Macaca fascicularis: one gene and its partner. The protein of the gene in region 2 purifies or fractionates together with the protein of the main gene of each other region. This does not show direct contact. Links are inferred from orthologs where the notes say so. Each region holds a gene or a part of one and is shown on either strand. Other genes may lie near its edges.

What was found.
Region 1: the proteins of CHTOP (region 2) and ERH purify together in Homo sapiens (affinity purification with mass spectrometry; 3 studies listed by BioGRID and IntAct, with this or other methods). This does not show direct contact. The link is inferred for Macaca fascicularis from reciprocal best matches to the Homo sapiens genes CHTOP and ERH.

The regions. Positions count from the first base shown.
Region 1 is NC_088381.1:137,312,347-137,316,978, reverse strand, and holds the start of ERH (enhancer of rudimentary homolog), read left to right. Parts: upstream 1-1,286; coding exon 1,287-1,289; coding exon of another isoform or gene 1,290-1,381; exon of another isoform or gene 1,382-1,513; intron 1,514-4,601; coding exon 4,602-4,632. Other genes in the region: SLC39A9 (zinc transporter ZIP9), read right to left, coding at 1,070-1,381. UniProt on the Homo sapiens protein: May have a role in the cell cycle.
Region 2 is NC_088375.1:107,531,016-107,536,229, forward strand, and holds the start of CHTOP (chromatin target of PRMT1 protein), read right to left. Parts: upstream 3,368-5,214; 5' UTR 3,104-3,367; intron 881-3,103; 5' UTR 864-880; coding exon 799-863; intron 1-798. UniProt on the Homo sapiens protein: Plays an important role in the ligand-dependent activation of estrogen receptor target genes. May play a role in the silencing of fetal globin genes.

The sequences.
Region 1 (4,632 bases), on a different chromosome or scaffold from region 2:
AACTACTACCTCACAGCCATCCCGACAGCTGACAGAAAGTTGAGAATTTCTTACCTCTGAGAAATTAACAGCCAAGGGAATGATTCCAGCCACGTAACATCCCACCAACATAGCCAAAGACAGTAGGCTAATGGAGATGAAATCATCCATTCTGCCCTTCTTTATTCACCCACCACCACTAGACAACAAATTTCCAGTGGCTTTAAAAGGTGCTTAGGTTCTTTAAACAGGTGTGGTGGTTCCAAGAGAGTGGGCTTTCCAGTTCTTTAGGCCTCCTCACCAGCAGATGTGTTCACGAGGCACCTTCCTCTTGAACGTACCCGGAAACAGACCCTTGTTGCTGATATTAGCACCAGAGAAAGCTTACAGCAATCTAGGGTCCCAGGCTCTGGGTTCTGAGATGCCAGTCATTAGATTCTCGTGGGTTAACAGAGATGGGAAAAGTCAATGGGGAAAATGTGCGAATGATCGATTTCTTCGATTGTCGGAATGAGAGTGGCACAACGTCTTACGCGGCGGCGGGTGACTCAAGCGAACCTGTTCGTTCCCTAGGCGCCCCTGTCTCCAAGAGGCGGCCCCGAAGGTGATCCGCCCCCCACGGCAGGAAACCAGCCCACCAGTCCCAGCAAACTGTCCTCTGAGCCTGGGATGCGGAAAGGAGTCCTGCAGGTCTCTAACGATGGGTCCTAGGGGTTCAGCAGCAAAGTTGACACAAAGCTGTCTCTGCCCTATACCCGGTGCTGCCCATGGTACTGCACTCGGCCGGGCCTTGACCCGGAGTCGCCGATACTACAGCTGCCATGGCCGCCAAGTGGCACCTCTTCATTCCATCCACTTCCGGATTGTCTAACCGCCCCCTCCTTTACAAGGGCACTTCCGGGTTACAACCGACCTCTGGCCCGCGATACTTACGTTGCCGCCATTTTTGAGTAGGGCTAATTAAAGATGTCTGATGTCACTGTCTACACCGGTGCTCACTTGAGCCGTATGTTTAATAACGAAAGTACGGAAGACAGCGTCTTGAAACAAAATAATTCTTCCTAAAGTTCGGAAACTTTCCCTTACTTACCTTTTTGCCTTTATCGAAGATGGCTGAAACAGAGTCAGTATCTGCTCTAGCTGCCGGAAGTGACTGTGCCTCTATGATCCAAAAGGCTCTTTTGCGTTGAATTTTCGACGACTTCCGGCGGCTCCTCTCGCGGGGATTGGCTGTTAGCGGCGTTGTGGCTAAGCTCGTGTAACGGCGGCGGTGTCGGCAGCAGCTGCAGCGAAGAGAGTTTGGCGCGATGGTGAGAAAGGCCCCCGCGGCTACCCGAGTCCGAGTCCCCGGCCTCCAGAGCGACCCCAGCCCTATACATTTTCCTCTCCCCACGAGCCCCATGCAGCGCGGCGTGATGCTCCCCGCCACTCCAGTTGGTGGATGGATCCTTCTTCCCGCCGCAGAGACGCCAGGCCTGACTCTAGGCCCCGGAGCGCCAGTCCGCCCTGCGGTTGCGCGCCCGCCTGCTCGCTCGGGTCAGGCGTGCCTTGGACCTGAGGATGAGCTCTCTCCCGATTGTTACTCGGTAGAGGGAGGCATAGGAACGGTGGTTTTTCTGGTTTGTTTTTTGAGACAGTCTCACTGTATCGCCCAGGCTGGAGTACAGTGGTGTGATCTCGGCTCACTGCAACCTCCGCTTCCTGGGTTCAAGCAATTCTCCTGCCTCAGCTTCCCAAGCTGGGATTACAGGCGCCCACCACCTCGCCCGGCTAATTTTTGTATTTTAGTAGAGATGGAGTTTCATCATGTTGGCCAGGCTGGTCTCGAACTCCTGACCTCAAGCAGTCTACCCGCCTCGGCCTCCCAAAGTGCTGGGATTACAGGCGTGAGCCACCGGGCCCGGCCGGGAATGGTGCTTTTTCCCTCCAAATGCTCTAGCCTGCTGTAGGAACAATGGGCCAGGGTTGTGTAACCTTTTCTGGAAGCTGACAGATCCAGCTTACTATATCCAGCATGTGGGCCAGGAGAGGTCGTATTTACTTTGTAGTGTTTTCTCAGCTTTCGTTTTCCTGTGCTCTGCCTTTTTTTTTTTTTTTTTTTTTTTTTTCCTATTTCTGAGACCTCTAGGTAGTTCATGTGGCGCGTCCCTCAGCCCTCGATCCTGTTCTTATCTGTATTTATATCCTCTTGGGGCTGGAGACTGAAAAGTAGGCTCAGCTCAGAGACCAGCTCTATTAGAATCCAACCAGGATGATCAGTAAGCTCCAATTCGAAGAAAGTGACCAAAACTGGCTTGAGAGGTGGTATAATCTGTAAAGAATTTGAGCAGGAAAGCAATGCCATTTTAAAATGACCACATTTTTTAAAATGTATCATGTTACGTTCTTAGTGGTTTTTAATCCCTGTTTTTGGGCAGTAAGTATTGAAAATAGTAAACTTTGCCCAGTGTTCATTTTAAGACTAGATATAAAAAGCAACATGCTGTATAGCTTATTCCATTGTTACGCTTTCAAATTAGTCCTTTAATTTGCATTAGAATTGGAATACAATTATAGTAGCAGTTGAGATAGCTAGTGTATAGGGGCAAGCTCTGTTGCAAGAATGCACGTGGTTTCTACAAAATTATTTTTTCTTAACAAATGACTCATTGAAACTTTTTGAGTAGCTAGCTTACAAAGACTTCTGTGTAACAAATAATCTAATGCTTTCTGTGGCTTTTAAATCGATTTAACAAAGGCTTTGACTGTTCAGGTTATAGGTGAGAGTTAATCCTTCGTCTCTTGTCACCAAGTTCCGTTTTTATCTCACACCCTCTCAAACTTTTAGTCAAAGTGATTTAATTATTGATGGGGAGAGAAGAGTATAACCCTTTGTTTTGCGTGTCATGTTAAATGTACTATTTTTCCATTGTTTATTCAGCTATTTCAGCTCCAATTTGATGGTTAAAAATTCTGATCATTTTGGCCGGGCGCAGTGGCTCACGCCTGTAATCCCAGCACTTTGGGAGGCCGAGGTGGGCAGATCACCTGAGGTCAGGAGTTCGAGACCAGCCTGACCAACATGGAGAAACCCTGTCTCTACTAAAAAGACAAAATTAGCGAGCGTGATGGCATATGCCTGTAATCCCGGGTATTGGGAGGCTGAAGCAGAAGATTCTCTTGAACCCGGGAAGCAGAGGTTGTGGTGAGCTGAGATCGCGCCATTGCACTCCAGCCTGGGCAACAAGAACTCTGTCTCAAAAAAAAAAAAAAAAAAATTATTTTCATTCCAAAACAGTTAGGGTTCCTGTTGTTAGGAAATTTTTGTTTTCTGGTTTTTGGCTGAAAAATACTAGTACAGCAGAAGAGAAGGAAAAAAGTGAATAGTTTGATTTGGGACTGGGTTTACAGTGGAGTTGCATCATACTTGCATTTAATTAATCAACCTTACACGGGTAGCAAAAAATTGGATGGGTCATATTTTCAACAGACCAGTGAATTCTCAGCTGGATGAGATTTTTTGCTCCCTAAGGGACATTTGTCACAAAGAATCAGCCAGCTCAAAATGTAATAGAGCCCAGGTTGAGAAACACTGAGATTGACTTGTTAGTGACTGAACACTAACAAAAACATGTTCCCCAGTGAGCATGAAGTGGAAGACACGTCTGTCTGCTATTTTTCGGGCATATTTCACATTTCTCATAGTGTGATAACCTAACATTCTGTGTGATTCTAATACCTGGTTTTGGTATGAGAAAGCCCAGTAAGGCAAGTCATCTACTAGGTGAATAGTTCAATGGATTTTTAAGGGTAATTCTTATGATGGTTTATATTGCTAATTTATCTACTCCTTTAATGTTAAGTCTAACCCCTGGATAAAATGTGACTTTGCTCTTATGCTAAGGTTGGCAAAAAAAATTGAACCCATGCTTGTGATTATTACACTATTTCCCCTTTTGTTTCCTTTCATCAGCCCATCTGAGTTTTTATTAATGACTTAAGAGCATTAAAGATGGAAAGTGACCACTGGAGACAGAAAACCTAAGCAGGTTTATAATTTAGTTGGGAAGAAAAGATACAAAAGAAAAAGGAAGACAAGGTAGCTTATACTGATAACTTGTAGGCAGTAAATACAGTAGGACTGGGAGACTTAGGGAGACCTTACAGCAGAGTTGTGAATCCAGCTAGATCCTACACTTGGACTAAGACATAAATATTTTTGTGGGAAAAGTATCCTAATTACTTTTTTTTTTTTTAAGAGAGAGGGTCTCACTCTTCGATGCAATGGTGTGATCATGGTGCACTGCAGTCTCAGCCTCCTGGGCTCAAGGAATCCTTCTGCCTTAGACTTCCAAAGTGCTGGGACAACAGGCATGCACCCAGGAAATTTTATTTTATTTTTTTAGAGACAGGGTCTTGCTGTGTTGCCCAGGCTGGTCTCAGGCTTCTGGCCTCAAGTGATTTTCCACCCCTCAGCCTCCCAGAGGATGAGGATTACAGGCATGGGATGCCATGCCTGGCCTCTCTAATTACATTTTAATAACTAGCAATCATTATTGCATTACAAATGGGGATTTTTTTTTTATCATACTATGAATTTCTCAAATAGAAACTTATATTGAAATCATGTTTCCCCCCTGCAGTCTCACACCATTTTGCTGGTACAGCCTACTA
Region 2 (5,214 bases):
GCTGGTCTTGAACTACTGACCTTGTGATCCACCCTTGGCCTCCCAAAGTGCTGGGATTACAGGCATGAGCCACTGCGCCCAGCCAAAGGGACTCTTAATGAACAAAGTTGTCAAAAATAGAAACTGCCTTTAAATACTTTTACTTTTCTTAGTCTCAAATCATCACTTTTTCTGACTCCAAGTAGTTACTTTTGAAAGTTAGATTAGTTCGATCATTTATGAGCCCGTGAAGAGACTCATTATTTCTGTCAAGGAAGTGTAATGGAATGGAAGAGAAGAACACTTAACTGTAAAAGAATCCAAAACAAAACCAAACTAAAAGCAGAATGGAAAGAAAGTGAAATGGAGCAAAGCAAGTGCCTCTTACAAGGCCCAAGAACGACATTCAAGGACCTTTGGACATATTCATGGCTTGCTACCTGCCTCTTACAGGCCAGACACAACACTGCTGGCCTTGGACTGGGCAGCAAGCCTACTGTAGCCAGGGTACCATGCTACCGTGCTGCACGACCCCTGTATCAATGTAAAAAAATGTGAAAAGGGAGGGTGTTAGGAGTCTTTTAAAATACATCCCACCAAATAAATATTTCAGACAGCTTAACATAAAAGTCTACTGATAAGGGGTTTTGAAACAACCGCCCAATTTGTTTTGTGTACCACATGAGATGCAACTAAGAACAGAGGTCTGTAGCCTTCTGTTGGTATTTAGCTTAAAACTGGCTTTGTGCACTGGACCCCAGGGCCAAGTTAAGTAATGTTTTCTTAGGAAGGAGCTGAAGTTGCTGTTGGCTGCCTCACCGCTCATTTAGAGACATCTTGGTGGTGCTTTTTAGCACAACTTTCGGCGCTGACTGTGCAGCCATCTTCAAATCCCGAGAATCTACAAAGGACAATACGTAAAATGAGCAAATCACAATAGTGACCACATCATTTCTATAAGTGGCAAGGCCCAAGTCAACAATAAATAAAAAGGCCTTATCACTGATGACTTAAGAGCACATGAGGGCACATTTCAAGTGCTTAAATTTCTTTTTCTTTTTTTTTTTTTTTTGAGAGAGGGTCTTACTCTGTCACTCAGGCTGGAATGCAGTGGCATGATCTTGGCTGCAGTGGCTCACGGCAGCTGTAATCTCCTGGCCTCAAAGGATGTTCCCACCTTGGCCTCCCAGTGCTGGGATCACAGACATGAGGTGTCATGCCCAGCAAAAGTGCAAAAGTGCTTAAATTTCTATGGCAGTTACCTCACATTACTGTAACTTCAAGGTGGCTGGGCGTGGTGGTTCACCACCTGTAATCCTAACACTTTGGGAGGGTGAGGGCACAGGATGGTTTGAAGCCAGGAGTTAGAGATCAGCTTGGGTAACAAAGTGAGACCGAGTCTCTACTAAGAAAATAAATAAATAAATAGTGCATGGTGGCCAGCACCTGTGGTCCTAGCTACTCAGGGGGAGCTGATGTGGGAGAAGTGCTACAGCCCAGGGGTTGGAGGCTGCAAAGAGCTGTGATGACGCCACTGCACTCCAGCCTGAGAGAGACCCCAACTCTTTAAAACAACCAACCAACCCCAAACAAACTCCAAGGCCCAGAAAATACCCAGGAAATTCTCAAAAACGGCAGAACCCAATTTAGCAATCAAAGTATGGAGTCTGGCCTTTTTTTTTTTTTTTTTTTGAGACGGAATCTCACTCTCTCGCCCAAGCTGGAGTGCAGTGGTGCGATCTCGGTTCACTGCAACCTCTGCCTCCTGGTGCAACCGATTCTCCTGCTTCAGCCTCCTGAGTAGCTGGGACTACAGGCATGTGCCACCACGCCCGGCGAATTGTTTTTGTATTTTTAGTAGAGACGGGGTTTCTCCACGTAGGCTAGGGTGGTCTTGAGCTCCTGACCTCACCCGATCCACCCACCTGGGCCTCCCAAAGTGCTGGGATTACAGGCGTGAGCCACCGCGCCCGGTCGAGTTTGGCTTTTTCTCTAGAGCAGTCATTTTCAATCTTGACTACATATGACTTATCCAAGGAGCTTTCAAAGGGCGCGGTGGCTCACGCCTGTAATCTCAGCACCTTGGGAGGCCAAGGTGGGCGGAATGCTCGAGCCCTAGAGCTCAAGACCAGCCTGGGCGACATGGCAAGACCCCGTTTCCATAAAAATATAAATTAATTAAAAAAATAAAAAATACAGATATCTGGGCCTAGATCAATTAAACCACAATCTCTAGTAACGAGGTTTGGAAATGAACAATTGTGGGGTGGAGGGAAAGCTACCTAGGTGCTTCTAGCGTGCAGTTAAAGTTGAAAACTACTGATCTAGAGTGAAAATATAGGCAGGGCCGGGCGCGGTGGCTCACGCCAGTTTTCCCAGCACTCTGGGAGGCCGAGACGGGCGGATCACCTGAGGTTGGGGGTTCGAGACCAGCCTGACCATCATGGAGAAACCCCGTCTTTACTAAATATACAAAATTAGCTGGGCGTAGTGGCGCATGGCTGTAATCCCAGCTACTCGGGAGTCTGAGGCAGGAGAATCGCTTGAACTCGGGAGGCGGAAGCTGTGGTGAGCTGAGATCGTGCCACTGCACTCCAGCCTGGGCAAAAAGAGCGACACTCCGTCTCAAAAAAAAAAAAAAAAAAAAAAAGCCTAGTTTAAAAATTGGCTTTCAACTCCAGAATCAAGTAGAGACTTTTGTAACAATAAACTAATGATCTCGGGGAGTGCGTAGGAAAGGTTTTCTAAATTCACCTGGGGAATGAGCTCGCAAAGAGCCCTCCACAAAACTTAACCCTAAAGCCGCCATTAATTTCCAACATTCCTCAAAGTCTTGTATTTCTTAATCTCCCTACCATCCTCAAAGCCCTATCAAGACTTCCACTTTTGCTCAACCCAAGTTTCCTTTTAATCCCTATCAAACCCCAACCTCCATCAGTCCCGCCACCAGGTTCCAGTTCAGCCCCTCCCCCGCCCCTTCGCAGGGGCTCCGCCTCCTCCCCCGGGCCTCCACGCTCCAACACCGTAGCTGTGTCCACATGCCACCACCCCCTTTCCGCGTCCGCCAGCCCCTTCCGCTCTCCAAGACCCCGCCACCCCGCTCCTTCTCCCTACAGAAACTCACCGAAGGAAACAGACGCCAGTGCTCCTCCCGGGGCTGCCACCACGGCTCCGGCAGGCGGGCCGGGGACCGGCCGAACCTGAGTTGACGGTGGAGGGGCTCGGGTTAGCTAGATGGGCGGTTGGTCAGATGCGTAAGCGGTAGTATGCGAGCTCAGTTCGTTGTTGCTGGTTGGCTGTCTAGCCGGCCGATCCGTCTGCTCACCCGGCCTGCCCTTTCTTGCCTTTCGTCTGCAGCGGCCGCCAGCTCCGGCTCGGTGTCCAAAACAAAATGGCCGCCACATGCAGTGCTTGTGGGACCGGCTAAAATGGCGTCTACGCCATTACGTCAGGCGTCAGATCCGCTCACGACTAGAGGGCGTGAAAGATTTGAGCTCCGCCTGCGCAGGGATCAGAGGCGGAGCCTTAGGGTGAACTTCAGCAAACTTTACCTTAGCGGTATAAGCAGTGCCCCGCCCCCTGGGGGCGTGACAATGGCCCTATCGGGGCGTGCCGGGACTTCAAGTTCCCGTAGTGGTTAAGCTGCAACCTCCTGGGTTACTAGTTAGTAATCAGGGTCTTAGAGGGGATTTGGGTTCCGAATTCCCTTGCCCCTCTGTTCCTTAGGCAAGGTACATCGTCTAAAAATCTTTACGCGGACTTGCCTCGTCTTCTTCCGGACAACTGGGCCTGGGGAATTTGCACTGGTTTTCCCCTCATGGCCAGTCGCCCAGTCTGAGAGTTGTAAAGTGCCGTAAATGCTCCCGCCAAGGCCCAGTATTGGGAGCACATTCCTCTCCCATCCTGCGCTGGCCAACACCACCGCCCGTCCATGTTTTCCTCTTCACTTCCTCCCCTTCCCAACTTGGCCTAAATACTGTTTAATCCTTCTTGCGGGGGGTGCACCTTTGCGTCCTCGATTGCGCTTCCATGTCCTCCCTCCACACCTGCCATCCGTGTTTATTTTGTGGCAGACCTACATAGGGATTTCTCTTTTCTCGCTTTTTGATTTGTTGTTGTTGTTGTTTTGAGACGGGGTCTGGCTCTGTTGTCCAAGCTGGAGTCAGTGGCGCAATCACGGATCACTGCAGCCTTGACCTCCTGGGCTCAGGTGATCCTCTCACCTCAGCCTCCCGAGTCCTAGGATTATAGGCATGAACTATGTGTCCTGCTCAATTAAGGGATTTTTCTTTCTTTCTTTCTTTCTTTTTTTTCTTTTTGCAGATGGAGTCTCGCTCTATCACCCAGGCTGGAGTGTAGTGGTACCATCTCGGCTCACTGCAACCTCCGCCTCCCAGGTTCAAGCGATTCTCCTGCTTCAGCCTCCTGAGTGGCTGGAATTACAGGCGCGTGCCACCACGCCCTGCTAATTTTTGTATTTTTAGTAGAGATGAGATTTCACCAGGCTGGTCGCTAACTCCTGACCTCGAGTGATCTGCCCACCTCTGTGTCTCAAAGTGCTGGGACTACAGTCGTGAGCCACCATGCCCGGCCTCAATAAGGGATTTTGCTTTTTTTTTTTTTTCTTTCTTTTTTTTTTTGAGACGGAGTCTCGCGCTGTCGCCCAGGCTGGAGTGCAGTGGCCGGATCTCAGCTCACTGCAAGCTCCGCCTCCCGGGTTTACGCCATTCTCCTGCCTCAGCCTCCGGAGTAGCTGGGACTACAGGCACCCACCACCTCGCCTGGCTATTTTTTTGTATTTTTTAGTAGAGACGGGGTTTCACTGTGTTAGCCAGGATGGTCTCGATCTCCTGACCTAGTGATCCGCCCATCTCGGCCTCCCAAAGTGCTGGGATTACAGGCTTGAGCCACCGCGCCCGGCCAATAAGAGATTTTTCTAATGGCTATGTGCACAATACAGTGTGCATATGTTTGAGTAATGAGAGAATGACACATCTGTCCCTGCCCACCCTTTCTCCGCCCCATAGGCACGTGAAGACCCTTTCATTTTCCTTCCTGGCACTGGCACGTGTGTGTATGTGTGTGTGTGTGTGTGTAAGGCCCATGTGAGGGTAAGGATCGTGGTTATTTTGCTTAATGCTGGAGCCTCAGTTCCTACACAGTGTTTACACACAGTACCACTTAGGTAAATGTTCGTTGATTGAAAGAAGATTATTTTGGCCAAGCGCGGTGGCT